Linked DNA regions of Canis lupus familiaris. The protein of the gene in region 3 interacts with the protein of the main gene of each other region in a pairwise test. Links are inferred from orthologs where the notes say so. Each region holds a gene or a part of one and is shown on either strand. Other genes may lie near its edges.

Evidence for each region.
Region 1: the proteins of ADAMTSL4 (region 3) and AQP1 interact in a two-hybrid assay, tested with the Homo sapiens proteins (2 studies listed by BioGRID and IntAct). The link is inferred for Canis lupus familiaris from reciprocal best matches to the Homo sapiens genes ADAMTSL4 and AQP1.
Region 2: the proteins of ADAMTSL4 (region 3) and OTX1 interact in binary tests that used the Homo sapiens proteins (3 or more experiments, as listed by UniProt). The two-hybrid records come from large-scale screens. The link is inferred for Canis lupus familiaris from reciprocal best matches to the Homo sapiens genes ADAMTSL4 and OTX1.
Region 4: the proteins of ADAMTSL4 (region 3) and APOL6 interact in binary tests that used the Homo sapiens proteins (3 or more experiments, as listed by UniProt). The two-hybrid records come from large-scale screens. The link is inferred for Canis lupus familiaris from reciprocal best matches to the Homo sapiens genes ADAMTSL4 and APOL6.
Region 5: the proteins of ADAMTSL4 (region 3) and AMMECR1 interact in binary tests that used the Homo sapiens proteins (3 or more experiments, as listed by UniProt). The two-hybrid records come from large-scale screens. The link is inferred for Canis lupus familiaris from reciprocal best matches to the Homo sapiens genes ADAMTSL4 and AMMECR1.
Region 6: the proteins of ADAMTSL4 (region 3) and PRKAB2 interact in binary tests that used the Homo sapiens proteins (3 or more experiments, as listed by UniProt). The link is inferred for Canis lupus familiaris from reciprocal best matches to the Homo sapiens genes ADAMTSL4 and PRKAB2.
Region 7: the proteins of ADAMTSL4 (region 3) and SHFL interact in binary tests that used the Homo sapiens proteins (3 or more experiments, as listed by UniProt). The two-hybrid records come from large-scale screens. The link is inferred for Canis lupus familiaris from reciprocal best matches to the Homo sapiens genes ADAMTSL4 and SHFL.

Annotation. Positions count from the first base shown.
Region 1 is NC_049235.1:43,684,966-43,689,107, reverse strand, and holds the start of AQP1 (aquaporin-1), read right to left. Parts: upstream 2,801-4,142; 5' UTR 2,770-2,800; coding exon 2,380-2,769; intron 1,007-2,379; exon of another isoform or gene 588-1,006; intron 494-587; exon of another isoform or gene 1-493. UniProt on the Homo sapiens protein: Forms a water channel that facilitates the transport of water across cell membranes, playing a crucial role in water homeostasis in various tissues.
Region 2 is NC_049231.1:64,119,541-64,123,810, forward strand, and holds the start of OTX1 (homeobox protein OTX1), read left to right. Parts: upstream 1-1,470; 5' UTR 1,471-1,582; intron 1,583-1,948; 5' UTR 1,949-2,017; intron 2,018-3,228; exon of another isoform or gene 3,229-3,630; 5' UTR 3,631-3,740; coding exon 3,741-3,837; intron 3,838-4,270. UniProt on the Homo sapiens protein: Probably plays a role in the development of the brain and the sense organs. Can bind to the BCD target sequence (BTS): 5'-TCTAATCCC-3'.
Region 3 is NC_049238.1:60,400,499-60,403,998, reverse strand, and holds part of ADAMTSL4 (ADAMTS-like protein 4), read right to left. Parts: intron 3,450-3,500; coding exon 3,277-3,449; intron 3,122-3,276; coding exon 3,010-3,121; intron 2,904-3,009; coding exon 2,718-2,903; intron 2,312-2,717; coding exon 2,182-2,311; intron 1,826-2,181; coding exon 1,621-1,825; intron 1,285-1,620; coding exon 1,108-1,284; intron 823-1,107; coding exon 616-822; intron 531-615; coding exon 351-530; intron 70-350; coding exon 1-69. UniProt on the Homo sapiens protein: Positive regulation of apoptosis. May facilitate FBN1 microfibril biogenesis.
Region 4 is NC_049231.1:29,543,420-29,547,633, forward strand, and holds the start of APOL6 (apolipoprotein L6), read right to left. Parts: upstream 2,801-4,214; 5' UTR 2,608-2,800; intron 1-2,607. UniProt on the Homo sapiens protein: May affect the movement of lipids in the cytoplasm or allow the binding of lipids to organelles.
Region 5 is NC_049260.1:84,074,199-84,077,698, forward strand, and holds part of AMMECR1 (AMME syndrome candidate gene 1 protein), read right to left. Parts: intron 946-3,500; coding exon 831-945; intron 1-830.
Region 6 is NC_049238.1:58,294,633-58,298,698, forward strand, and holds the start of PRKAB2 (5'-AMP-activated protein kinase subunit beta-2), read right to left. Parts: upstream 2,801-4,066; 5' UTR 2,634-2,800; intron 2,629-2,633; exon of another isoform or gene 2,545-2,628; intron 2,353-2,544; 5' UTR 2,328-2,352; coding exon 2,172-2,327; intron 1-2,171. UniProt on the Homo sapiens protein: Non-catalytic subunit of AMP-activated protein kinase (AMPK), an energy sensor protein kinase that plays a key role in regulating cellular energy metabolism.
Region 7 is NC_049241.1:51,360,908-51,364,935, forward strand, and holds the start of SHFL (shiftless antiviral inhibitor of ribosomal frameshifting protein), read right to left. Parts: upstream 2,801-4,028; 5' UTR 2,671-2,800; coding exon 2,650-2,670; intron 2,208-2,649; coding exon 2,084-2,207; intron 1,898-2,083; coding exon 1,848-1,897; intron 230-1,847; coding exon 191-229; intron 24-190; coding exon 1-23.

The DNA.
Region 1 (4,142 bases), on a different chromosome or scaffold from region 3:
AGTGTGTCACTTGCTGCAGAGACCGGTCTCTGCCTCTCTTGAGGCATCAGGGCCACCTGCCAGGAACTTCAGATGCCTTCACATCGCAGGTCCAGCGTCTGACAGGAGCCCTGGGAGAGATGCTTTCTGTTTCTAGGCCCAGACTTTGGAACCCCAAACCTCCCTGGTGTAGACAGGACAGTGCCTGCACCCCACCACAACACTCAGGAATCTTATGGTCAGCGAGGCCCCCCGTGGGCTCCTCTTAGCCAGACCCTCCTGGGAAGGGTGATAAACACAAGTCCCCAGAGTGAGCTTGCTGGTGGTTTAGGAGGGGCCAGGAAATATCTATAAAGACCTAGGTTCCTTCTTGGAGTCTCAGGATCCTCAGCTCCAGGAAAACGCAACAGGTTAGCAGCAGACAGGACGTGAGCCCGGCGTGCTTGTCCCCGGCAGGAGCCTGTCCCTTTATCTCCCCCAGCTGCCAACGGCCCAGCCAGGCATCTGGGCGACTCTGCAAAACGGAGGCCGGGGCAGGGAAGGGACACTGGAGCAGGCTGCGGCCAGACGAAGATGCCACGGTAGGCGGCCACCCTCCCGGCACCTACCCGTGATGCCCGAGTCAGAACGCGACGTCTGCCCACAGATGCCTGTCCTGCCTGTCCCTGGAGAAGGAGGGTCAAGACAGGGCAGGGGCCTGCGGACATTCAACCCCTCCCCAACGGGCACCTTTTCGCCACCGCCCGCCCTGCCCACCGAGCCGGCCACGGCTGAACCTGACCCCACCCGGGGGTCACTCCCCGGAGTCACCTGGCCCTGCCCTCTGGAGAGCCTGCCGGAGCTCTCGTCCCTTCCACCCACCTCGGCCACCACGTTCTTCGACTAAAGTCTAAACTCCAGCCCGCGGGCTAATCTTCAATCTTGGGCCGAGCAGCGGTTGGCTCCGCGAGGGGGCCGGGTAAGGTGTCACTGTGACACAAGAAGTGCTAATCCCCCCCAGCCCGAGCCAAGGCCTCGCCAGCTGCCCTCTGCACCAGGCCTTACCAAGCCTCCCCGCAGCTGCAGCGCCAGGATCTGAACTTTGGCTGGGAAGCGGGACAACAATCGCTGTAATCCCGGGCCGCGGTCTCTGGGGCCCTGGGCTGGCTCCCTCCCGGTCCCTGCCCCCGCCTGCCCTGCCCAGGCCCCGAGCCCCGATTCTGCAGATCTGGTTCCTCCCGTGTGCTCGTGCGCCACTCCCCTGTCCCGGGAAGGCACCCTCCGAGCCTTCCTCAGCCTCTCTCAGGCCAAGCCTCCCCCCGCCGCGGTGGCCCCGGGCTGGGTCTGAGTTTGCACTTGGCCGAGGGTCTGGAAAAGCCCAGGTCTGCGACAGCAGGCAACTGCCGCCAACGGCCAATTAGCTGTGCTAAGCGGCCCGGGAGGAATTCTTTGCAGCAGCCTGCCACCCACTCACCAACATCTGCTCACCATTAGTGCCCCCGGCCCAGACCCCATTGGGGCCAGGGGCAATGGGCATGCACAGGTACACACTCACCGCCCCCCGCCCCCGCCGCCCACTCACACGGCTGCACTAACACTCGCAGACCCACGGGAGCGCACAGCTTACACAAGCCCGGAGACCCATGCCAGCATCCACGTGCACACACCGTTCACACACACAAACACACGTGCCACACCTCACGGTGCCCGGCGACAGAGAGTGGAGCCCAGACGGGAGGCGAGATGTCCCCACCCTGGCCACCACCCCTACTGTAATCCAGGAAAACCACCTGCAAACCAGCCAGAATGTTTTCACCTGCCCCCACCGCACCCCCGCTGCCCCGCAGCTTCATCTAACTCTCGGGGACCAAGGAGCAGGAGGGGCTTTTTCCCTGAAGGCAGTTTGTTTGGGGACCTGTGTGAATATGGGGCGGGCTGAGGGTCCGTGTGGCCACCCATGGGTCCTGCTCATGCAGCTGCTGACCCGCGCCAATGTGCCAGGCACCCAGCTTCGGGGGGCTGGGGACAGCGGGCAGCGTGTCCCCAGGGTCCAGGCTGTAGGAAGAGGGAGCTGGCTGCCCCGGCCGGGCAGAGTGGAGACCTAGAAGCTACAGCCGAGGGGTGAGGAGCTGCTGTCCCCACAATTGGTAGCTGCCTCCAGAGCTGATTCCCCACGATAGACGCCTGCAGGGGACACTGGCCAGACTATTATTCTCTGGGTCTCGGCTTCCCACGGTGCCTGGTAGGAAACGGGCTCTGGGCTGCAGGTGTAGCTGAGTTCCAGCCCCAAGTCCTCATGACCTCCAGCCAGCTCGTGCCCTCTCTGCTCCTCGGTGTCCCCATCTGCACAATGGGTGAGGATGAGACCTATGCCGCGTGTGCTCTGCTCCAGAGCCCAGCACCTGGGGCCACCCCACGTACCTCGTTTCGGCCGAGGGAGTTGTCCGGAAGGGAGGAGGTGATGCCCGAGAGGATGGCGGTGGCCACGATGGCCCCCACGCACTGGGCGATGATGTACATGACAGCCCTGAGGATGCTGATCTGGCAACTGAGCAGCAGCCCCAGCGTGACAGCTGGGTTGAGGTGGGCGCCACTAATGTGGCCCACGCTCTGGGCCAGGGTGGCAATGCTCAGCCCGAAGGCCAGTGACACCTTCACGTTATCCTGGGCCGCACCTGCTGTCTGGTTGTTCCTCACCGGGTAGTTGAAGCCCAGGGCAGAACCGATGCTGATGAAGACGAAGAGGATCATGGCCAGGAACTCGGCCACCACCGCCCTCCAGAAGAGCTTCTTCTTGAACTCGCTGGCCATGCTGGCAGGGGGCTTGGCTTGAGACCGCTGCCTGGTGCTCGACTCCCTCCGAGAGCTGAGCCACAGCCCGGGCTGGGCCTATTTATAGGGCCCGGGGGGAGGAGAGGAGGGGGGGGAGCACAAAGGGAGGAAGGCCTCTCCTTGCTCCTGGCCCGCCCCGCACTTCACGGGCCTCCTCTCAGCGATGGATGCAGACACAGCTCTGCTGTCGGCCTGCCAACTTTTTTCCCTCCCTCCTCTCCCCCCTCCCTCCCTCTCTCCCTCCGCCCTCAGCCCTGCCCAGCCCGAGGAGGCAGGCGGGAGGCAGCCACTGCTCTAATAGGCTTTGGGAAATTCCTCCAAGTTGGCCCCACTCAGGGGGCCAGAGAAATCCAGGTGTCCCCGCCCTATGTGCGGAGCTCAGGGGTGTCCATGGGCAGAGCCAGAAGCTCTGGATGGTGCAGGGTGGGTGGGTTGGACTCCGCAGGTGGACTTTGCCTTCCCGAGAAGTGGGGCACCATGATCCTGCTCGCCCGGCATCCCATCCCATCCCGGAGTGGCGTTATTCTGGACAGCACGGGTCCAGGGGTCCCCAGGGGCATTCTGGGTCTCCCACACCCTGGCCCAGGCCTGGCTACAAGATGTCACCTTAGGGATGCCCCAGGGGCCCAGCACCACTGGCCAGGCCCAGTTGATGGGGACACAGAGGCATTAGGAGGCACGGAGAGCTTGTCGGTGGCCCACCCCGCACTCTGTGGTCAAGGGCAGGCCCGAGATAGGCAAGTAGCCACTCTGGGAGCCCTCATTGCTCCAGAAGCAATTAGAACCAACGATAGCAGGGCAGGTGGAGAAAACAGAGGCAGTTCAGGATTTTCCTCTCCAGGGCTGCATGCTGGCAGACCCCAGGGGGCGAGGGAAGGAATGGCCAGGTAGCCTGGAGACGGAGGCAGAGACGAGAGAAGGAGAGAGGACACAAGACAAAGGGAGAGGCAGAGAGACAGAGTCAAAGGGCAAGTGAGACGAGCGAGATCTCAGGCCAGGCTGAGGAGGAGAGACAGCCAGGGAGCAGAGACGGGGAAGAGACAAACCTGACAGAGGAGACGCCACTGGAACCAGCAGAGGCACGAAGCAAGAGGGGAAAGGTGGGGTGGGTGGGGAAGAGGCCGGCCCGCAGACCCCTGCCCCCAGCCCCTGCCCTGCACGCCGCCAGCCAGAGGCCCGACAGCAGCCGGTAAGCTGTGCAGGCGCCCGGACTCCCCCAGGCAGGGGGCTCCTGCCGGCCGCCTGCCCAGTCGGTGTGCAGCGAGGGCAAGAGCAGCCAGGCGGGGCCGGGAGGGGGCGAGGCCAGGCCCGGGAGGGAGCGGCCCTCTCTGGGCCTCTCCTCCCACCTCCCG
Region 2 (4,270 bases), on a different chromosome or scaffold from region 3:
GAGATCAACAAAAGAACCGACCAAAGCCTTATTAAAGGTCCTAAGAAGATCTCCCGGGTCCTTTGAGAAGCAGTTAAGGAAACAGTGTGCCCTCCATCATATTCTGTTACCGTATTTTATTCGGGCTCCAAAGGAAAGTGTCGCTTGGGGGGAGGGGGAAGTACTTTGATGAGCGGCGGCCTCGGCCCCTTTTGACTGCGGGGCGCCCCCTTCCTCTCCTCCTCCTCCTCCTCGCCCCAGCCCCGTCCGCTCGGGGGCCCGACCTCGCGGCCCGGCGGCGGGCGCTCCCACGGCGCGGCGCCCCGCGGCTCCCGGACTCGCCCTCGCGCTCACTCCTGCTCAAACTTTTCACTCCGCCTGTTGGGATGGAGGGGAGGGGGGACTAGGGAAGCCGGGGAGGAATTCCTCGAAAGGGACCCAAGTGGTGCCTAATACTCAGAAGGAGGTGCCACCTAAGAGGAACCGCCTGGCTCAAGGTTGGGGCGAAACCCTTTTGGGGGGGTGGGGGCGGGGGGCGCCTGGAGACGTCCAGCAGGTACGCGGGCTCCAGAAGTTAGTTCGGCTGGGAAATGGGCTTCGCCAGTACGAACAATCCGGGGAGACGGCCCCGAGGAGGCTCCCTCTGCGGCGCGGGAGGAGGAGACGGAGGCCGGGGGTCTGTGGCCGCGTCTGCCGCCCCCGCCCCCGCCCCCGCCCCCGGTGCAGGGCGCCCGCGAAGGAGGCGGGGTGCGGAAGGGAAAGTTTCCCGTTAAGACCTCCCGGGGCAGGAGGAGAGCGGGCGCCTTAAGGGGGCAGGAGCCGCGGGGCTCCAACGCCCGGGGAGACGCGCCGAGGACGGGCGCGCGGGCCCCGGGGGACGCGCAGCAGCGGGGGAGCGGCGGGGCCTCCCCCGCGGGGGCCGAGCGGGCCAGGCGGGGTCCGCGCCCCCCGCCGCCCCCGGCCCCCGCGCCCGCCGCGTCCGTCCGCAGGTGGCGGCGCGGGGAAGGCGGCCGCTGGGGCCCGGGGCGCCGCCCGGGGGGAGCCGGGGGGGCCCCCACTGCCCTGCAGCCCGCGGCCCCGGACTCCTCGAGCGCACAGCCCCGCCGCCGAGCCGGGTGGCGCGCGGGAGAGCCCGGGAACCGGTTCCCCGGCCCCGCGTCTCCTCTCCGCCACTCCCTCGCGGGCGCCGACAGGGCGAGCGAAGGGCGGGGACCCCCCCCCCCGGGCCGGCCTCGGGCCCCGCGTCCCCCCTCCGCCGACGGGCCCTGGCGCTGCGGCCGCTGTCCTCGCCTCGCTCTGCGCCGCGTTTGTCAGCCCAGCCCTGGAGTTAGCGCGCGCCCGGGGCGGGGCGGGCGGGCGCCGAGGGCGGGGTGCAGGGGGCGGAGGAGGGCGGGGGCGCGCGGAGGTAACCCCCGGCTCGGGCTGCCATTGCCCGGCTCGCTGTCACTCAGCCCGCGCGGGGCCGGGGATTGGCAGCACGGCCCCGTTACGCACTCACCTCGCGTTCACATACCCGGGGAGGGCAGTAGAAAGGTGATCAATCTTCATCAGGCTACATTTCCAATCACCTAAACAACCCGGCAAGACAAGCCACTCCGACAAGGTAAATCGCTTGATTTATTTAGTTCGCAAAGTGCCTCGGCGGGACTCCCCTGGCCCCCGCCGCCTCCGCGCTGCACCCGGACTGCAACTGCAGCCTCGAGCCGCCCCCCAACGCTGCCCCTCTCACCCCCCACCCGCCTACCCCTTGCGGCCCCTCGGCGCGGTCCCGGGCGACGTGGTGTCTCGGGGACGCGTAGGGCTTTGCAAACAAAGTGTCTGTGCAATAAAGTGAAACCTGGAGGGACCCGCACAAAGCCACCGGGAAGAAAGAGAAGGCAGGAGGGAAGTTGGGGAAAGCAAGAACCCCGGGGAGCCGGGACCCGCCGTCCGGCCCGGCGAGTAACCCCCGCGCCCTCTGTCTTTGCAGGTCGGCTGCCCCGCGGGCCTGCGCGAGGGCGCGAGGTAGATGGTGAGCGGCCCCGGCAGCCGAGGGCAGGTAAGCAGACAGCCGCGGGGCCGCCCTGGCTCCGGGAGCGCGCCGCCTGCTCCCACCCCGGCCCCCGAGCCGGTCCCCGCTTCCCAGGTCCCCGGCAGGTGGGCGGGGCTGGGGGGCGGCCTGGCTCCCCTCCCGGCGCGCGGAGGACCCCCGATCCCCGCCGCGGCCCCGCGGCCCCTCCCCCGCCTCCTCCGAAGTCAGCGAGCTCAAGTGCTAAGTTTGAAGAAAGTCTCTGGAAACTCACGCTGCAGCTCGGCAGAGGCGCGGCGGCCCGGCGTGCCCCCCTCTCTCTGGGCCCCGGAGCCCCGGGCTGCCCCTCCTTCGCCCCCCTTTCCCTGCCAGCTGGGGTCCGCCAGCCCAGACCGTGGGGCCTGGAGGAGGGGCGCGGGAGGCCGCCCCGGCTCTCCCCGCCCTCCCCGAACTCCCCAGCCCGGCCCCGGGCCTGCTTTGAATCCCCCGCGACGCGGGGTGCAGCGCAGGGTCCCCCGGGGCCGCGGCCGCGCCCCCCAGCTCCACTCCCTGCCCCTGCGAACGGCGCCGCGGGGGGAGGCGAGCGGGGAGCCGGGCTTCGACCTGGCGGCCCGGGTCAGCCGAGCTGCGCCGCCGAGGCCTAGTCGCGTCGGCCCTGGGCAGGGTCCTGGGCCGCGGGCCGGGCGGGCGGGATAGGCCGGGAGCACGCGGGGGCGCGGCGCCCGGGCCTCCCCGATCCGCGACCCCTCGGGGCGCCGGGCGGGCCGCCCTCCGGCCTCCGCCCGGGCCGCGCTGTCCGCAGCCAGCAGCCAGCAGCCAGCAGCGGGCAGAAAGCAGCGGCGGCGGGCGTTGTCGGGGAGGGGGCCTGCGGCGGGGCCTGGGCGCCCCTGACCCCCCGCCGCGCCCTGGAGCCCCCGCGGCCCCCGCGTCCGCGTCTCCTGGCCGCCGTGGGCCCGGGCCTGTTACTGTGGCCCAGGTGTGCTGGGCTCCCCGGGGAGCGGCCTCTCCGCGGCCGGGCGCAGGGAGGTCAACTGGCAGGGTGGCCGTGGGCTCGGGGGCCCAGACCCAGCGGGGACACCCTTGCAGGAGCGCACCCTAAGTGGGCCCTGCCACCCGGAGAGGCCCAGGTGCCGCTAGCCTCCCGCGGCGCCTCACCTTAGCTCTCCCCGACCCTCCACCTTTTCATCCCGCTTTTCAAAAACATTTTGAAACGAAACGAAACAACCTCTGGTGCCCTGGGCAGCCTGCCTCACTGGCGCCGAGTAAACGTTTGCTCTTGCAGTATGGAGGCCGGCTCCTACCCGACCAGAATTTGGCCTAGACTTGGGACCTTGCACGCCGGGCGTTTTAGGCCCTCACTTTCCAGCTTGGCCCTGCTTTTAGCCTCTCCGCACTCCTAGCGACGCCCTACGAGGGTCTTTTACCCATTCCACGCCTGAGAAGAGGCGATGACGATCCAGAAAAGCTGACTTTTCAAAGAAGCTGTGGTCTTCCGGCCAAGGCCTTGTAGAGCCAAGCTGACCGCCCTTCCGAGTTCCGCAGGCCTGCGTGCCCTCCCCAGCCCCCGGCTGCTCGCCTCCGACGAGACCAGGAAACCGAGATGGCTCCCAGTCACTGTTTACCTGTGTCTCCTGTCTCCATAGGCCGGGCCCCCCGACGCAGCAGAGTTTGAAGGACTGCGCAGTGGGAGCCCCGCACTGCGCCTGGCCCCGGCCCCCTGGATCCGTCCGGGCGCCTCCACCCGGCTGTTAGCATGATGTCTTACCTCAAACAACCCCCATATGGCATGAACGGGCTGGGCCTGGCCGGGCCAGCCATGGACCTCCTGCACCCTTCCGTGGGCTACCCGGGTGAGCACCAGTCCCTGCCCCCAGCCCCTGCAAATCTTGGGGACGCCCAGACTCTTGAGTTTGAGCGCACACTCGGTGTCTGAGCAGGCCCGGGGAGTGGGATGGCGGGTCTGCCTGCAGTGCTCTGCACGCCGCAGGCTCACAGGGCAGTGGCGGGTGCATGAGGCAGGCCAGGCCAGTGAAGCTGGGCAATCTGTCTCTTGTGGTCCCACCACCAGCACAGGGCCCACTTACCCAAGGATTCGTTTCTCATGGGTGGCTTTTTTGGGGTGTGTGTGTGTGTGTGAATCTATTCCTTTCCTCCCAATGTTGAAAGAGAGATTTGGACACTCTCTAGGCCCTGACAGGAAGGGCCAGGCTTTTCTTATGAGAAGTGACTGGCTGAGACGAAGAAGAGGGGCTCTCCCTCCCTAATTGAATTGTCCTCTACATC
Region 3 (3,500 bases):
GACAGTCTGGTTGGCGGTCAGGCACTGGACCTCCCTGGTCTGAATACCGCCCTGGCAGGAGCGAGAACACTGCGGAGACCCCGCTATCAAATCAGACCTCTGCTGTGACCCAGGTTCCTCCTGAACCTCAGGCCACCTCCTTCTCTGAAAGTAGTTGGGGGGGGGGGTTCACCAGGAACATTATGCAATCCCACATTGACAGGGCCCACTTGTCCTCCATGTATACAGGAAGTGGGGCAATAATAAACCAGCTGCAGCTGGCCTCATGCTGGGACACAATGGGGATACCAGGAGTGGAGCCTCCAAACTTTCCTTAGAAGCTCAACAAGACAGGGGAGTCAGGCACTCACCGGACTCCAAGGAGTAGAAAACCATCGGTCCTGGCAGTCCTGCCCCTGACAGGGCTGCAGGGCAGGGGGCCTGGGCAGGTGGGAACAGTTGCTGGGGGAAGTCACGTTGAACTCAGTTCCCAGTTTGGACACACAAATGATGTCTCTACGCTGCGTGCCAGAACCGCATTCTGAGGAGCACTGATACAGAGGAAGGGCAGGGTGTGCAAGGGGAAGGGAGAACAGGGATCACTCCTGCCAGCCCCCTTCCAAGCTCTTGGCTCACCTCGGCCCAGGGCCCCGTGTACCAGCACCACGTCATCTCACAGGGTCCCAAGCTACAGGCACGCATGTCTGGGGGACGGCTTCCCGGTGCACAGCTCTGCTTGCTGGGCCCTGCCCCTGCTTCCTCCTGGCCCAGCCCCTGGGTCTCCCCACTCCCAAGGCAGACCACAGACCGTCGCTGGATTCCAGTCCCACAATTGGCTGAGCACTGTTGAGAAGGTGATGGGTAGGGGAGGAGGAAAAGGGGTTGAGGGGGGCCCGTCCTGGATCCCCTGAGTTGGGGAGTGCCCCGGGTACCACCCAGGTAAGAAGAACCTGTAATGGGAGTCCGGGACCCTAACGTGAGTTCTTCTCACTTAACTCGGAATCCCAGCATCAGCAACATCTAGCACATACCAGGGCTTGTTCAGTAAATGTGGACCAAAATGTGTTGGAAAGGTCCTGGGTGTGGGCACCAGGGATGCATGACTCGGGTAAGGGCTGTGGGGCCCACCTTGGAGCTCCAGTCGCTGTGGAACCAAGCTGTGGTACAGGGCCCCATGTCACAGGCCTCTCTGCTGGGGGGCCGCGGAGGGCCTGACGCACACTCCGTCTCGCTCACTTCATGGCCGTTGTTTCCCACGCAGCGAACTTGCCGGCTCCTCTGGCCCCGCCCGCACCGCACTGAGCACTGGGGAGGAGAGCTCGTGAGAGCCCAGCCTCCGGGCCTCTGGGCCTCCAGCCTCGGGCTCCAGGGCCTTGCAACCAGGACCTGCCTTCTTCCCTAACTCAGCACCTATAGGGCTGTATGGGCTGAGGGGCAGACTCGACAGGTGGCTCTGGGCCCCCAATCCCCGGTTCAGGGTCTCATCTGACTTATATGCTGGGGTTTCACACGCTCAGGTCTTGTCATTAAAAAGCTTCTGCCAGTTAAAAAGGATCAGGAAAACCACTGCTCTAGCTCACTGGCACCCGTCCACCTAGGGTCCTTCCCACCCTGGCAGCTCCCTTGCCGGGCCCCACTCACCTGGCTCCAGGGGGAGCGAACTTCCCAGTGGCCACAGAGGCGCAGTTGACAGGTCTGGGTGACATTGGGCCGAGGGAGATGTGCACAGCGCTCTAGAGGCACAGAGGAGCCACCCCCACCAAATTCTTGCCGGCAGCGCAGCTGGCGATGCTGGGTGCCGGGGCCACAGGAGCGGCTACAGGACGTCCACTCACCAGCCTCCCAGCTGTGGGGTAACAGGGCAAGAAAGAAGCAGAGACATGGATAAAGAAAACACAGGTGTGCAGGGCTGCCATGGGTGGGGCAAGGGATGACAGTCCTGGGGGAGGGAAACCCTGCAGGGCAGGGCGGGTGTCTTCATCACTTGGAGCCCAATTTCCCTTGTGGGGCTCGGGCTGCCAGGGTTCTCCTCCTGTCCAGGGAGCGTGAGCCTTTCCAATCAAACACTGGGTCTCTGCAGCCAGGAGGCCTAGTGTGTTGGGTGCAGAGTCCAGGGCAATACGCTAAGGCGGTGTGAATGCGTCTGCCGGGGACAACTGTTGTGCTCCTAGGACCCCAGCCCTCCCTGTGGGTCATACTCACTAGGGCGGGCATGGGGGACCATGGCAGGGCTCCAGGGGGGTCGGGGGCCTGGCACCCATGGCACAGCTGTGTTCGTCCAGTTCCTCCCCTGACTCACGAGAAATGCAGAGGAAAATGGGGCGCCAAACACCTGAAGAGATGACAGGGAAGCCAGGGGAGGCAGGATGGCCCAGAGCCCAGCGTCCGTGCAGCTCCAGACACTGGAATTCATCTTCACACAGAGTCAAGGTATGGATCCTCAATCCAGGGTGTGGGGTCAGGAGTGCCCTGTCAGGGTCTTAGTCTAAAGGTGCCAGGAATACAGGCCTAGTGCATCAAGTTTCACCTTTTCTTTTTTTTTTTTTTTTAATTTTTTTTTCATTTATTTATGATAGTCACACAGAGAGAGAGAGAGAGGCAGAGACATAGGCAGAGGGAGAAGCAGACTCCATGCACCGGGAGCCCGACGTGGGATTCGATCCCGGGTCTCCAGGATCGCGCCCTGGGCCAAAGGCAGGCGCCAAACCGCTGCGCCACCCAGGGATCCCAAGTCTCACCTTTTCCACAAGAGGCCGAGCACTCTGAGTGTCCCATTCGCTTCCAGTACCCAGTCTGAGACCCCAGGGGTGTCCTGGGCAGCGGAGGAGGGCGCACCTGGGGGATCCGCACCTGGCGCTGGAGGGTGCCTGGGGTCCGGGCCGGCCGGGGCACTGACATGGGTGGGGGCTCCACCCTCAGGATCTCTGTGTAGGGTGGTCAGTCACGCAGGCAGATCAGATACAGCCCACTGCCTCACAGCTCCCCTTCCAGTCCCTCCCCGCCCCCTAGGTGAGGGGAGCAGAGCCTCACCTGGCTGCAGCTGGGGGCTGGGGGGCTCTGGGGTGGTGCTCTCAGGGTTTGCAGGAGGCAAAGAGACGATGTACTGGTAAAAAATGCCTGGGTTTTCCTCCTGAAAGATCACCTGGAGAGAGAGTTGGGAGGAGTTGTCCGGGGTGGGGGCGGCCAGGGCACACCGCTAGCCTTCTCCCCCATCTCGTGACCCACAGCTGTGCCCCAGAGGGAAGGCCCTCCCTCCCTCCCTGCCAGCTGTCCAGCTTCCCCAGGCCCCAAGCTCACGTAGACATCCACAGGCTGGGTCGTGGGGCCTTGGGCTGACAGACTCTCCCCCTTGCCCTCCTCTCGAGAAGGACGGTTGTACAGGAAGACAGTCCCACTGGCCGTGTAGGACCCAGGGGGATCCACAGCCCAGTTTCCGTTGATGATGGACTGGCCCCCAGGGCCTCGAAGGGCTGCCGATCAGAGATCAGGACAGAGGTCAGCCACGCCGAGCCCCGGGCACC
Region 4 (4,214 bases), on a different chromosome or scaffold from region 3:
AGTGGTGGCCCTGATTTAACTTATATGTTAGAATGATCACTCTGGCTGGAAAAGAGATTCTGGATTTGCAAGAGATGAAGCAAAGAGACCAGTTAGAAGTGATCGTGGTGGTTAGAGCAAGAGAGGATGGCTGCTTGTACTAGGTTGGTGGAAGTGGTAAGAGACATTGTATTTACAGGAAATCACAGGGTGAGAGAATACATTTCTGTTGTTTCCATCCCCCCAGTCGGTGGTGCTTTTGTTTCGGTCCCTAGGAAAGAACACACTCTCTCTCATTTCTTTTTCTATATTTGGTGCTTGGCCCCAGAGTTTTGGTCAGAAATGCTATGGTCGTGATAGGCCTTCTCTCTCCTGGTCATCTTCCTCTCCCTCTCTATTTCTGAAAGAACTTAGGAGAAAAGTCCTCCCATACATATTTTGAAGGCACAAAAATCCTTGCAATGTTTTTTTCTTCTTCTAATGATTTAAATAAATACAGGTTTACTGTAGAAAGTTTGGAAATAAAGAATACAATTATTCTGTATTCTCATCACACAAAATAACCACTGGGGACATTTTATTTACAAGCAAAACAAAGTTTAGACTCATCATTCATTCAGTTTTGTGCGAATTTTTGTCACTTAACATTACATCAACGTTATGGTGCCCGGTATTATTAAATAGTTTCAAACAAGCTATTTAAAGGCTGTGCAACATTCCATTAGATAGATGTATTATTATGTATTTAATAACTCCCCTACCATTGAATCTTTGGGTTGTCTTCAGTTTGAGCTTTTTTTTTTTTTTTTTTTTTTTAAAGATCTTATTTATTTATTCATAGAGACAGAGAGGCAGAGACACAGGAGGAAGGAGAAGCAGGCTCCGTGGAGGGAGCCTGACATGGGACTCGATCCAGGGTCTCCAGGATCACACCCTGGGCTGCAGGCGAGGCTAAACCCCTGCGCCACTGGGGCTGCCCTGAGCTTTGTTTTTGTTTGTTTTTACAGTCTTTGCTTTATAAATACTTTTGGATCGTTACATAAAAGTTGGTCTACACATTTGGTTATTTCTTTGGGATTGTCTTTGAGGTAGAGTTACTGCATCAAAGATAAAAAATGTGTTCTAACTGGCTTATCAAGCTAAGTTTCAGGGATTTGTCTCCAGAGTGCACGTGACCTATAATAGGAGGCACATTTTTGTGCTTAATTGTGTCAGACGTGCATCTACCTATTTTATACACCTTTAATCCTCTCAATGGCTCTCTGACATAGATGCTAATATTATCCCCATTTCCCAGATGAGGAAACTGAGGCACAGGGCACCAGTGCCATGCAACTGGTAGATACGAGAGCACAGTGTGATTCCAGCTAGGTCTGCAATACAAGCCTAGAGCAGCAGACCTTAATCGCGGGTGAGTTTTCTCCCCCGAGGGTGTTGGTAATATCTGGAGTCATTTTCAATTGCCATACAACTCTGGGAGAAGCAGGAAGTGCAGCTATTGGCCTTGAGTTGGTAGAGGCCAGTGCTGTTTCTAAACGCCCTGTAATGCACAGGACAGCCTCACAACAAGGGACGACACAGCCCAAAATGTCAGTGGGGTTAAGGTTGAAAAACCTCAGTCTTGGGGTGCGGGGGTGGTTTATTCCGTTGGGCATCTGATTCTTGATTTCAGCTCAGGTCCTGGGATTGAGCCCCAGGTCAGGCTCCAGGCTTAGCAGGGAATCTGCTTGAGATTCTCCCTCTCATTCTGCCCCCACCCCTGCTCGCTCTCTCTCTCTCAAAATAAATAAATAAATCTTCAAAAAGAAAAGAAAAGAAAAACCCCCATTCTTTGCCGGCGCCCTGTGATACCTTGCCATTTCCCATGAATCCTATGGGATGAGAAGCGAAGGTGACCCAGGGAGCCCTTTGGTCCAGCCCAGGTCCCATCCCCCCCCACCTTCTCTTTTTCCACTTGTGAGCTTGTATTTATGGCAGTTGTTCTTTGCCTGCCTGGGGAGCCTTCAGCCTCATTCTGCTGTCCAGAGGCCCCTGTCCTGCAAACCAGCTCCCTCATAAAGGCAGCTTGCTCAGAGAACACGGCTTTGAGATACTCCCCGAAATCTTTACCACTGTCTCCCCCCACTTCCCAAAACCTCCCCCCAGTAAACCTACAATCCTGGGAACATGAGATGGTTTTGCAGTTCAGAGACAAGCTGCTGAGCATTTTTGTTCTGTGAGGATGACATCCCCTCAAGGGAAAAGCCTGTCACCAGTGAGGCCTCCTATGTTCCAGGGGCTGGGCCCTCTCGTCTAGGGCTTGGGGGGGGGGGTGTTCCCCAGCCAGTGGAGGGGAGACGTACCTTGGTTTGTCCTCGCACCTTCTTAATCCTGTTTCCATTTAAACTTCAAACAGCCCAGGAGAGAGTCCTCCCCTGATATACCATCAAAGAGGTTGAGGTTTAGACCTTTCCTGAGGTCAGATCCTTGGCAGGAGGGGTTTGAACTCCGGGGACCCTGGTGACAGCTCTTTGTCCCAAACCAAGTGCCTTAGCCCAGTCGTCAGGGCAGGAAGCAGCCTCCCTCCCCTGCCTGCTTTCACTGTGGCCTCGGTGCCTGGGGAGAGGAGGCCCCCCCCCCAGTCCTCACCTCTCGGGGGGTCCTCTCGCCCGGTGGCGGGGGCCTGTGGGAGGCCAGGCAGCAAGGGTGGAGTCTCCGGCCGGAGCTGCGGTCCCGGGGAAAGCCTGAGACCCCCGTGGCCTACTCCCAGGGGCCGACAGGCTGGAGCCGAGCTCAGAACAGCAACTACTGAAGCAACGCTTCTGGGAAAGGCGGGGCTTGAAAAATGGGTTTCGCTTTTCCTTTCCTTTTCCCTTTCTCTACTAGCTGTGTGGTGACAGGTTAGCAGCACCGCAGGCAGGGGCCCGGGCCCCCTCACCCTGTCCTCGCTGTGCGCCTAGGAAGGCAAGGACTCAGGCCAGCGGACCCCGGGGAGGGGGCGGTCGCGGGGTTGGTCGGCCCCTGGCCTCCACTCTCCACCTGGGAAATGGGTATAAAAATAGCTCCTGTGGCACAGAGCCATGGTGAGGAGTGAGGCCCCTGGGGCCCAGGTGGACCCCGCAAGCGCTTCGACGGTGGTCACCATGGGTGGGCTGCCCTCATGTGGCTTCCTCGCCCCTCTGAGCTGGGTGCCGGGCAAGGTCTGCCGCCTCCCGTGTGTAACTGGGGAGTGCAGAATTCTCTGAAGACCCGGTGTGTTTCCGTAAATCATTTGGTGGTGGAACCTGACCCCGCCTCTGCAGGGACCTGGTTTTTATGTATCCCACTTCATTTGCATATTCATTGTTTCCCTGCAGAAGTATTAGGGTGTGACTAAACCTTTCCTGGGACGCCTGGGTGACTCAGTGGTTGAACCGCTGCCTTCAGCTCAGGGCGTGACCCCGGGGTCCTGAGATCGAGTCCTGCCCCCATCGGGCTCCCTGCATGGAGCCTGCTTCTCCCTCTGCCTGTGTCTCTGCCTCTCTGTGTGTCTCTCATGAACAAATAAATAAAATCTTTAAAAAATAAATAAATAAAAGAAAAAGAAAGACCTTTCCTCTCCCCACATCCAAACCATTGGAAACTCTGGAACATATCTGGCCCCGATGGTTTGAGATACAAGATTGTGGTTGCGGGTCTCCCGATCTGCAGATGAGGAAACTGAGACCTCGGGCTGGCGGGGGGAGGGGGCAGGGGCTTGCCCGTGGTCGCACAGCTAGGACAGGGCGAGGGACCCAGTTCTGGGCTCCGTGTCTGTGGGAATGGCCTGCCTCACAGTCGTGGGCTGAGATCTGTGTCCCTGTGCGAGGGCCGCGTGCTCTGTTCCTGTGGATCAGGCCGGGAGCCCCAGGTCCTCTCCTCTGCCCTCCTGGAGGCCACACTGGGGGCTGCCGCTGGCACACGGAGTGGCCCAACCAGCCAGCCTTGGCTCTGCGGGCGTCCCCCGGGCCCTCTAGCAGGGAGGAGGGATGGGAGGCTGATGAGTTGCTGAGCTGCGACTCGGCGGGGCCTCTGGGTCCCTGGTGTCCTGGCCTCCTGCGCTCAGGGGCCCTCGGAGGCCATCCTTGCTGGAGGGCTGGTCAGCCCAGCTGCCATCCAGCCCCTCTGCTGCTTCTCCTCTCCCCCCCCAACCCCCCCCCAACATAGACCCAGATGCCCAGGCCTCTCCAGGGTCCTGGGAGCCTCAGGGGCCAGGCTGGCCGAACGACTGAGTGGTG
Region 5 (3,500 bases), on a different chromosome or scaffold from region 3:
GACTGAAGGATGGTTCATGGTGGAGAGCAAATCTTAGGACTTTTGTATATGTGGCACAGTGCCTCAAATACAGTAGGCATTCAGTGACATATGCACTATTATGTGTGAAATTTCATAAACACACGCTCAGCTATCTCCTCACAATGACCAAAACAAAATCATGGTGAGAACCTTTGAACTTCCTTAAAAACCCAACCCCACATACTAATGAATAAAAAATATGACAAATCTAGGCTACTTCAATCATGACAATGTTCAGAGATCATCATGATATAACCTTAATATTATTTGTTAGCATGGTTAAGTACACAAAATAAGGTAGCCAAGAATGAGTGAACAAGATTTAACTGCAGTTAACAAACACTCTGATCTGTATCCACAGTCTGATTTCCCCTACTGGTGTATTATCCTAACTTTTTGGCTCCTTGCTTCTGAGATGTGTCCTCACAACACCCAATTGCTGGGTGGCAGTTACACTGAAGTACATCAGAATGGAAATAGAAGGAATAAATTCCGATCAGTCCTTCTTACTACTTATTAACAGCTTTTATGAGGGGCTGTGCTAAAGTAATAGGATAAAAATAAACAGCAAATTCAGTTTAAGGACAAAAATGACACATGGCACTTTGCCTTAAAAACAAAAACAAAAACAGAAAAAACCTCCTTCACTGTTATCTCATTGATCAGCTGTGAGGTTTATTTCTCCACCTTACTCTCCTCACCTGCACTACAATAGAGAATGGGCTGAAAGAGTTGCTTCCTGGATCTAATTTTTAACATTTACGCAGGAGTTACCTTCATTTCTCTTTCAAAAATGTCTATACTCTTACCTCCCAGTCCAAATAATCACAGACATCTTCAAAGTTAGTGAGAAGAGACACTGAGCAGAACAGCCGTGGCAGCTCATCCCTTGTCATTGGGGGGAAACGGCTATCTTTAAGGGCACTGTGGAAAACAAAGCAAATATTAAAGCAACTACTTGGTATGAAAAAGTCCCCCTTTCAAATGCAGACAATCATTTGAAAAAGGTAGGAGATTTTTAAAAAATCAGTAAGGTGACAAAGGCGTTAATAATCTGCAAATGTATTCAAGGGCCCCAGAGATTTTAGAAGTCAATTTATTTCATTCAATAGACTGTTTATTAGCCAATCCTGTGATCAAATGTAAAGCACGAATGATCAATTACACTTCCTGTACAGTCATTTCCTGGTCTACTTCCCTGTTACTTGGAGAATCTGAGAATACTTTACTTTTGAGAAGAATAAAACCTAGGCTAGTGGACATTTATGCAAAGACTTCTAGACCTAGGGCCGATGGAAAAAAATGTATATAGTTTTAAAAAAAAGTTCATACCAGGTTGGCCTTTTACCATAGAACAGCACTCAGAGTTCAAAAAAGACCAAAATTTCATTTTCTTCAAGCAAAAGAAATCAAAGAAAATTTAAATAATCATGCAAATTACAGACTAAAAATACAAATATTTCAGGCCCCCCATAAAGGATAATTCAATATATGACTCAAAAATTGTGAAAGTACAGGAAATTGGGCTAATCTAGAAATAAAAGTATGATTAGGAGACCATTAATCACATCAATGGATTTCTGAGTACAACTCTGATTGGATCCTGTAATCAAGGGAAATATACTACAGTGCCAAATTCTAGAAAAACCCCTACTATAAAGGACAAAGATGTTGGAAGACCATAATTCTTCCTGCAATGGAAGAACAGACAGAAAATACATAGACACACACACTCACACAGGCACAGTACATTTCTTGTACTTTTAAAAGAAAACACTTCCTGGTCAAGAAAAACAAACATACCTCTGATTACACTTTATACTAATGGCACTACTGGCATTTGCACCATCAATCTTCAAATTCAAATGTCCTATACAGCAGCCAGGCTTAGAAAATGTTTTCACAGATTAATCCTTAGAAGTTACAAACTTTAGAGCCTACAAACTGCCTGGGTTATAACAAAGTTCCATGGCCTTTAGAAATCATTCAATTCCTTTTTCAGTGACTCCCTCATTGCTGATTTTCTTTTTTCTTTTTTTCATTTTTCCATCCCTTCCTTTGCATTCTAAAACTCACCTATTGTATTGTACAAATAGAACACCTATGTGAGTACTTTCAATGCATTTTGGTGCTCATTCTATTCTACTCTGCAAAGGAAAATGCTTATAGAAAGATATGTTCTATATATAAAGTATAAATTTTTTCCCATACCAGGAGCCAAGATTAACCAAGAAAATCAGGACATCTGTGACAATTCATACTCTGAGAACAGCATTTGCCCATTTTATGATTTAACAATATAAATTTTACTACAGTTTGGCCTCTTTTATTTTCCTATTGGCAAATAAAGTTTTAAAAAGCATTTTCAAATTCTCATTCAAAGCCAAGATAAAGACATATATGTGTGTGTATAACCAACACTCCCTTTCCTAACAAACACACATATTGAATAGAAATTCTAAAACAGAAGAATCCCATCCACAAAAACCAAAAGGCCAATCACACTTTCAGTCTTCTTGCTAAAAAGAAAAAAAGAGAGAGGGGGTAAAAGCCTTATATACATTGGAATAACATAAAATATAATTTTTTTGGATTATAGATTTTTATTGTGGTAAAATAACTATTTTTAAGGGTACAGTTCTGTGTAATTAAGTTCATTGATGGCTCACCACCATCCATCTCCAGAACTCTTAGCATATTGCACAACTGAAACATAGTATCCATCCAATACTAACGCCGGCTCCTCCTTCCTTCCAGCCTCTGGCAAAAATGTAATTTGCACACACTTTTCCATTTTCAAGTAATTAGGATAATATAGTCACTAATGTTTTTGATATATAATAGCTTATGGAGATGTAGTTGACACACCAATAAAATTCACCCATTAACATATACAATTTAATGTTTTTTAGCATATTCACAGAGTTACACAACCATCACCATCATTCTAATTTTAAAACATTTTGTCACACCAAAAAGAAGCCCCATACCCATTAACAGCCAGTCTCCATTTTTCCCTCCTTCCAGCTCCTCACAAGCATTACTCTCGGTCTATGGATTTGCCTATTCTGGATATTTCATAGCAGTGTAGTCCTACAAATATGGCTACACTGACTTTGAGCATAATGTTTTGGAGGTTTCATCCATGCTGTAGCATGTATCAATACTTCATCTTTTCAACTGCCTAATATTTCAATGGTGTGGCTCTATCACATTTTGTGATCTGTTGATCTGTTGAGAAACATTTGAGTTGTTTCCACTTTGGGACTACTATAAATAATGCAGCTATATTCATGCATGTATGAGTTTCTGTGTGGACATATGTATTCATTTCTCTTGGGTAGATACCTAAAAGCTGAATTGCTGGGTCATTTGGTAATTCTATGTTTAACTTTTTAAGGAACTGATAAACTATTTCCCACAGTGGCTGTACCATTCTACGTTGCCACCAGCAATGTGTGAGCGAGTTCCAATTTCTC
Region 6 (4,066 bases), about 2.1 Mb from region 3:
AATATTATTACTGTGATTATGTTAAACAAAGGAAAAAACCTCAACTTTACAGATACATCCTAAAATATTTACAGATAAAATAATATTTGATAGGATGTCTGGAATTTGTTTCAAAATATTTGGTAGGGGGAAGTGGACTGGCATAGGCATGACATAAATTTGTTCAAATTTAATCATTGTTTAAACTGGGTGATGGGTATATAGGAGTTTACTATACTACTCTAACTACTTTGAAACATGGAAAATGTCTCTAATTTTCCATACAGTGTTTAAACAAATTTTAGGTGATTCTAATGTGCAAACAGGGTTGAGAACCACTGACCTAGTCCACTGAAGAGGACTGGCATTTGAAGCAATGTTGACCCCACTGCCACTGTTTCTATGAGTCACTTTGATGATTTAGTATTTTCAATTTCGAATTTGAAAGCTACAAACTATTAACATGCCCGGCTTTGGAAGAAAGCCCTTCCACATATGACATGACATTTCCGTGGCAGGCCTGAGTGCAGCTGACTAGCAGAAAGACCATTTACTCCAAGTTAAATTGTCAGCAAAATCATTATGAAAAGAGGCAAAACAATGAGAACTACAGTTTGAAAATATTTAAGTAAAACAATGAAGGAAGAAGTAAAGAGACTAGATTGAGAACTATAAAATTTTACATGTATAAGAGACCTTAGGAATTATCTGAACCAATTTTCTTACTCACAAATGGCAAGACTGGGGTTAGGGAAGGAAGGAACCAAAATAGGCTCCATTTCAGATGGAGCAACCTGGCTTTTATTCAGCACACCAATTATTGCAGTCAGAGTTTGACAAATACACTGTACTTAAATCCTGAGTCATTGACATAGGAAAAGGGTAAAATTAGGAGGTGGATCACCTTGAGAAAGCTTCTAAGGAAATTCAAAATGACTGGCTAGATGGCCCAAATGCTGAGAAAGAAGTTCTAAAGTGGGAGAAGGAAGAAAGGAATGGAGACGAAACCCCAAGATGGTGCTTTTAACCACCTTCACTTCTTTTTCTGTAGTTATGTTTTCAACTGGGATTCAAGAAAATAAACAGAATCCAAATTTCATGTGCTACCAATGGGGCAAATCATTTCTTTACTCCCTAAAACCCCAATTTGGTGAAAGGTTTGAAGTGATAAAAAAAAAAAAAACATCAAACACACCTGAATCTCCTCAATCCCTCCATTTTTTCTACTTCCTCCCACTCGGACTGCCTGGAGGGATTATTGTTATTTCATGCTGACAGCTCTAAATGGGACTAGAAATATTCGGATGGTAATCCCATTGCAGTCAACTCCATCTAATCTACGGGTGGGCACAAGTTGCCGCTTTTCTGGAAGTCCTTGGATTTGAGAGCAAGGTCTGCCTGCCCGGCAGCTGCGGGTTGTCCGTTTTCAGCGATGGTAACATCACGAATTCCTACTGGAAGAGGAGAAATCCTGGATCGTTTGCTCTCCCAGTTGACCAGTAGCTGGGTGTGAAGAAGGAAGCACCTCAGCCAACCGCAATATAAAGGATGAGATGAACAACTGAGCAGTCAGCCAAAGGAAGTCCTGTACTGATCTCCAAGACGAGGAGAAAGTATCAAATAGGCAAGTGGCTGCTGCTCACAATCCTGCCAAAGGGGAAGAGGATCCGAAGTGCTGGGTTCTTAGAGGAGCAAAAATGATACTGATACCTACAGGTTATCAGAAAAAAAGAAATTCGTTTGCCTACCTCAGGGTAAACCTGAGAAACTGTCTCAGATGATCAGCCACTCAGGCAACCTACCGTCTTTGAAGTTTTCTACCAGGGTCTATAGGGTTTACAACCCATAAACTCATCACTACTCTCCAAGAGGGCTCCTGCCTGTTCGGAAAACCGGGGATGGGTGTGTGTGTGTGTGTGGCGTTGTGGGGGGGGGGGGGGGACGACTCTACAGTCCCCATCGTAAAAATATGGCCAGCAGGTCAGGCGAACGACAGAAACCCCGCCTCTATAGTATTTCGAGGCAGCGCCGCAGGCGTCAGTTACCCTCCAACATCTCCGTCCCCCCCCCCCCCCCCCCCTCCCCAGCCCCATCCCTTTAATTCAGAAAACCGTAACGTAGGTCGGTGGGATGAGGAGGAGCCCGGAAGGGGAGGGGGGCTGGGCCGCCGGGGCGCGCGCGGGGAGACTCACCTTGGGGTCCGGCAGGCTGAAGACGCTGGGGTCGTCCGTACTCCCCACCATGATCTTGTGCTCCTTGCCCGGCGCGTGGCCGCCGGCGCCCTCGGCGCGAGAAGCCTTGGCGCCGTGGCGCTCGCCAGCCACCCGGTCGCTGGTGGTGTTTCCCATGGCTGTAGCTCGAGTCGGGGGCCACCTGCCGGGGCGAACCACGCGGGGCTTTAACACCCGGCGGCCGCGTCAGGGACGCCCCCCGCTCCGCCCCTGCGCCTGGGGACCCGGGCCAGGGAATCCCCGCCCCAGGGAAGCCGTGCCCGGGGTCCCCTCCTTCCTCGGCCTCCGGCAGCGCCCGCGGCCCCCCACCCCCCACCCGCCACCCGCCACCCGCCTCTCGACGCCCGCCGCTGGGGAAACCCGCTTCGGGGAACTCCCCGCATCCCCGCGTTCACTGCCCGGGGGAGCCCCCACCCCAGTCACCTCCCGCGATGCTCTTCCTCCTCCCCTAGCCACTCGCGAGATGGCTGTTCTGCGGTTACGTCCACCAATAAAGTTATTGAAATTGAAGCCGCGCCCCGGGCTGGAGATCCGGGTTTCCTCCTAAAATGGCTACGAGGCCAGGGGCGCCAGGCCCGCCCCGCGCGCGTTCCCTACGGCCGCGCGGCGACGGCTCCCGAGCTCGCGGCCTCTCTAGCCGCCGCCGCCGCCGCCTCGGTGGTGGGCAGCCTCTCGCGCCAGGCGGGGGCGCCCGCTCCGCGTTGGCCTCGGGCTGGGCGGGGCGGGGCGGGGCGCGGGCTCCGCCCACCCGACCCAGAAACCCTGGCGCGGTCAGCCGCGGGCCGGCCTTCCGGAGCAGACGGGCTCCAGGGACCGCAGGGCCGCCTCCCGGCCTCAGGCGCTCCGTACCCGGAGAAGCGGCGCTGCCTCCTTGCCGCCCGCCTCACCGGGCTTCAGGTTAAACAGAACGTTCTCTGGGCAACCCGGACAGGTGGGTTCCTCCAGGGATTTAGAAACAGAATTTCCTCCTGGAATCAGAAGGAAGTAGTGGCGACTGCTTGAGGTACCTTCCAGCTGGCTGCGGTGGGGAGCAGCCTCGACTGGGGCCCCAGTGAGGAAGGAGTAATTAGGCGAGAAACCTTGACAGATGCGTGAAACTGGTCTGAAGAGGAGGAGAAAGCTATTCTGAGCTAAGAAACCGCGAATGCAACGAGCAACCCCAAAAGAAATGCCATTTGAGGAAGACCAACAAGAAGAGAAGGAACAGTGAGAGCAGAAAAGGACAGAGATTGTCCTCGGGTTGGAACGGATCTAGGTTTTTGCTGATGATTAATGGAACGTGTATGGTATTTACTAATTCATTCTTTGTGTTATAATTATGTGCTTTTCCGATTCCCTAGCGGAAACCGTTATCACTCAATGTGTGTGACACAGACCAGCAGCTTTGCCATCACCTGGGAGCTGGCTAGAAGTGTAGAATCTGAGGCTCTATCCTACAGGATCAGAATCTGCATTTTAACAAGATCCTCAGGGGAATGTGTATACATATTAAAGTGTCAAGCACTGCTTTGAAGGCTGGCAGAGAGCAAGTCTAGTTTTGATTCCTCTTCCTGTTCTGCATGCATCTTGTCCGGAGTAAGCTTTTAATAAATATTTGCACAGTGAAGGGTATAATACCGTTTACTACATTTCTAACAAGATAATACCACTTAAACAAACAGCGATGGGGGAATGCCACGTCGTACAAGGCCACCCTTTTTGAATGAACAGCTTTATTTTGTTGAAAAGCTTATTTTTCATAAAAAAAAAAAACCATACACTTAGGTTTGACAAATTCGCTTCTCTGCCTTTTGTCTTTCCTCTGCCCTAGTAAACTCAGAGATTCTCTGGTTCTTTTTTTTTTTTTTTTAAGATTT
Region 7 (4,028 bases), on a different chromosome or scaffold from region 3:
GGCAGGAGGGACGTCGCCACGGCCTTCGGGATAGGGACAAGAGGGTGGTCACGCCTCCTCCGCTAATATGAACACGCGTAAGTCTCCTCTCCTGCTGCTATAATGTCTCTCCTCGTCCATGGACACCATCCACTCTCCCCAAGGATGTCCTCCTCACTCCACCTCCCCCCATCCCATACCCCGGACTCACCTGGATGTCCTGGTCCTGCTTCATGTCCTCCGGTGGGTCCTGGGTGGAAACATCAGGGGCAGGAACTGCGGGTGCAGCTCAGACCTCTTTTTACCATTATTTGTTGGGGGTGAGGCTCCTGGACGAGGAGGGAGGCAGGGTCCTGGCCCCATATGAGTAGGGAGTCCCTAACTCAGGAAGGGCTGTCTGAGCAGGGCCTGCCTGTAGATGGCCAGGTACACGACCTCAGTTGTCCTCACAGTGGAGGGCACACCTATTATCCCCACCGCTCAGACAAAGAAACTGAGGCAGAGCTGGGAGAGGGGTGGCCGGAGATCACCCTGAATGAGAATGGCAGAAGAGGCCTGGATCCCCGCGCTCCCTCCCTGCTGGTAAATGCCACACACTTGGTGGCACTGTGAGGGGTCACCTCTTTGAGTCCATGCCGCTTTAGGCTAAGGGCTTGGGCTCTGGATTCAGACAGACACAGGTTCCCATCCGACTCCAGCACTTCCCGCTGCGAGGGCGGAGCCAAATCACTCCCCCTGCATCCCTAATGAGGGGCATCTCAGAGCGCAGCTATGGTTCTAGGTGGAAACGGCTTAAATGCCACCTGCTTGGCCTGCTTGGCGAGTGCCTTCAGGTTGGAATTGGAGGCAACACGCGGAAAGCCTGCTGCTGGGGAGTGCTCACTTTCCTATAATTTTTTACTTTTATTTTTAATTTGTTTATTATTATTTTTTAAAGGATTTTATTTATTTATTCATGAAAGACACAGAGAGAGAAAGGCAGAGACGTAGGCAGAGGGAGAAGCAGGCTCCAGGCAGGGAGCCCGATGTAGGATTCGATCCTGAGACCAAGGATCACGCCCTGAGCCAGGGGCAGGTGCTCAACCGCTGAGCCACCCAGGCGTCCCTCCTATAATTTTTTAAAGAATTATTTTCAGTAGGCTCCACACCTGATGTGGGGCTTGAACTCACGACCCTGAGATCAAGAGTAGCATGCTCCCCAGACTGAGCCAGCTAGGCGCCCCTCCTATTACCTTTATCATACCCTTTACACATGTAAATATAAATAACTCAATATGTACCTTATTATACTCTTCAGCAACTATGGGGGGGGCCTTATAGGAAGATGAAATGCACAGTGCACTGGCCACCAAAGTCATTTAAGGTGTAAAGTAGCCATGTTGCATTTGTGCCTCAAAGCCATTCATTCATCATATGGGCTCCCCTGCCCTCTCTCCTCCCCCATCTCATGTTTATCTTAGCCTGTCTTGCGTGTTCTTTTGCTCACTCTGTTCCCTCTTCCAGGAAGACTGTTTCCAACTCCCCCACCACCCAGGATCCCTTCTCCCCAGCATCAAAGCTGGCACCACCTCTTCCAGGAAGCCTTTCCCGACTGACCTCCAGGGGTCCTCTGTAATGACATCAGTCCTGATTCATTTCACCGCCCAATTTCACGATTCTCTCCCCCACTTAATACCACCAACATGTAATGAGTGCCGACAGTTTGCAGGCTCCCGGGTCAGACGCATGACTAAAAGGTGACTAAGTCAATGTGGATCATGAACTAGGAACTGGTGGTGCACAGATGGGGCTCATCATGGATACACCAGGTTCCTTCCGTTCCCGGTCCCCAGCTACCCCATCCTTGGAGGGCAAGAGGGGCAGTTTACCTGGGCATCCAGGTCATTACTCAGTTCCTGTCCATCTTTCTGCTTTACCCCTGGTGGCAAGAGTTAAGTGTAAGTAAAAGGTCCTTGAAGGATCTTCTGGGAGTTTCAGGGTCCCCAGAACCCCAATATAGACCCTCCCCAGAAGATGAGCGCGGCGCTTCTTCACACAGACCACACCTCCCTCGCGCGCTCCCCCCTCCTCTCCCCTACCAGGGCCGGGACCCCAGCCGGCTCACCGTACACGATGGAGCGCCCCACTCCGGTGTGGTCGCTGCCAAATTTCCTCATCAGAGTCCCCGCCTTCTTGGAGGATACCTTCCCATGAAACTTCTCCCGGAGGCGCCGGACGCTTTTCTCCAGCTGGGGTGGGCACAGGGGGGTTCCGATCGGGGAAGGAGAGGGGCGACTTGCCCTCCTCCATCTCTAGGCATCCTTCTCCCCGCCCGAACTTGACCCTTGCTTTTGGCCTCCCCCACCATCCCTCTACGGCATTTCCTGGGAGAAGCCAAAGTCCCCACCGGGCATTGGGGGAGGGAGCGGAGTGGGGCGAGCGCCCCCGGCTAGGGGAGGAGGCCGGCCAGGTAACCTGGCCTCTGACCCTTGACCCTGCAGCCCCCCTTTTCCTCGAGGAGGCCGCATCTCACTCTGGGGGGCCGGGGCGGTCATTATCCTTTCCGAGGGGGGGCGAGTGCCCGCCAGGGGTAAGGTCTGGGCTTCGGATGGAGTCCCCAGAACTGCGAAGCCCCCTCGGCGCCCCCGGCGCCTCTCGGGGGCCCCCGGCCCAGGCGCAGGCATCTCCTACCTCCACACCTTCTTGAGACATGGTGGCGGCGGCGGCGGCGCGGGTTCCGCGAGGGGCCGCACTGCGCGCTCGGAGCCCCCCTACCTGGGCGCGCCCGGGTCCAGCAGCCGCGCAGGGCAGGGGGCGGGGCCTCCGGGCGGCTCCGCCCTTCCTTCTCGGCCCCCTCTTTCGCTTTCGATTGCTGGGGGTGACGGCGTGGACGGGGCGCTCTGGCTCCGCCCCGGCTCCGCCTCTGCCCTCGCGCCCCAGGCCCCGCGGGCGCCGGGGGTCTGCACCCTGCGGCGGAGCGCGCGGGCCTCGGGCGGTGGAGGCGGCGCGGCCTCTGCAGTCGGTCACATGTCCCCACGCTGCGCGGGGTCCGCGTCTTCACGTCCCTCGTGGGGGCGGGGCCGCATCGCAAGGCCGCCGCGAATCTCCGGGCCCCCCCCAGCTCGCGCTTCCCCACTTCATCGCTCTCGCAGCTCCCCTCCCTCGGGACCTGGGGCCCCTCCTCGCTCTGAGGCTCTTCCGCGGCTACGTCCGGACCTGTCTGCACCTCAGTTTACTCCTCTGTAAAATGGGGATGATAACAGCGGCTACATCGTGGCTGGGTGTGATTGCCAGGATTCGAGACCCGGGGTGGAGCGCTTAGTAGCACCTGGCATGGGGTAGCCTAACGAGTCACTAAGCCGCCTACTGTGTGCCACAGCTGGAGGTAGTTGGGCGAAGGAGGAGATGCTTGTTGGATAAATAGAGGTCACTGGTGCCTAGCAGTCCAGCAACAGCCTGTAGTCCAGGGGTGCCTGGGAATCTGCACTGTAAATCGGAAGGTTGAGAATCCTCTGGGCCAGCACAATTTTTTTTTTCCCCTGAAATAGGCTCCACACCCAAGGTGGGGCTTGAACTCGTGACCCTGAGATCAAGAGTCACATGCTCCACCCACTGAACCAGCCAGAGGCCCCTATTACATAAAGCTATTCTTTAACACACACGCACACACACACACCAAAAGAAACGGAGATGAAAAAGTATAGATGTTCTAATGTTTTCTACTTGACCTCCAAAGCTTTGTTTGTGGGTCTGTGTGCCCCGTCTGGAGCCTATTAATGAGTGTAAACAGTTCATGGTTCTTTGTGACTGAATGTGGAATTTCAGGCTGAGAGCCAGGCCTGTAGCTGCATAGAGGACCTGGGATTTTATACTGAGGGAGGTGGGGAGGTGTGGAGGGGCTCTCTTGTTATACACGTATCTGTGATATATAGTACATAATCTCCACTTACCAGTGAGGAGAAGGAGGTCGCAGCCAGGGTGGGTGACAAGCAGGGAGGAAACAGGTGGGAAACTGATCCAGCTCCGACATGAACCAGATCTGCTAGATTCTTTCTTTCTTTCTTTCTTTC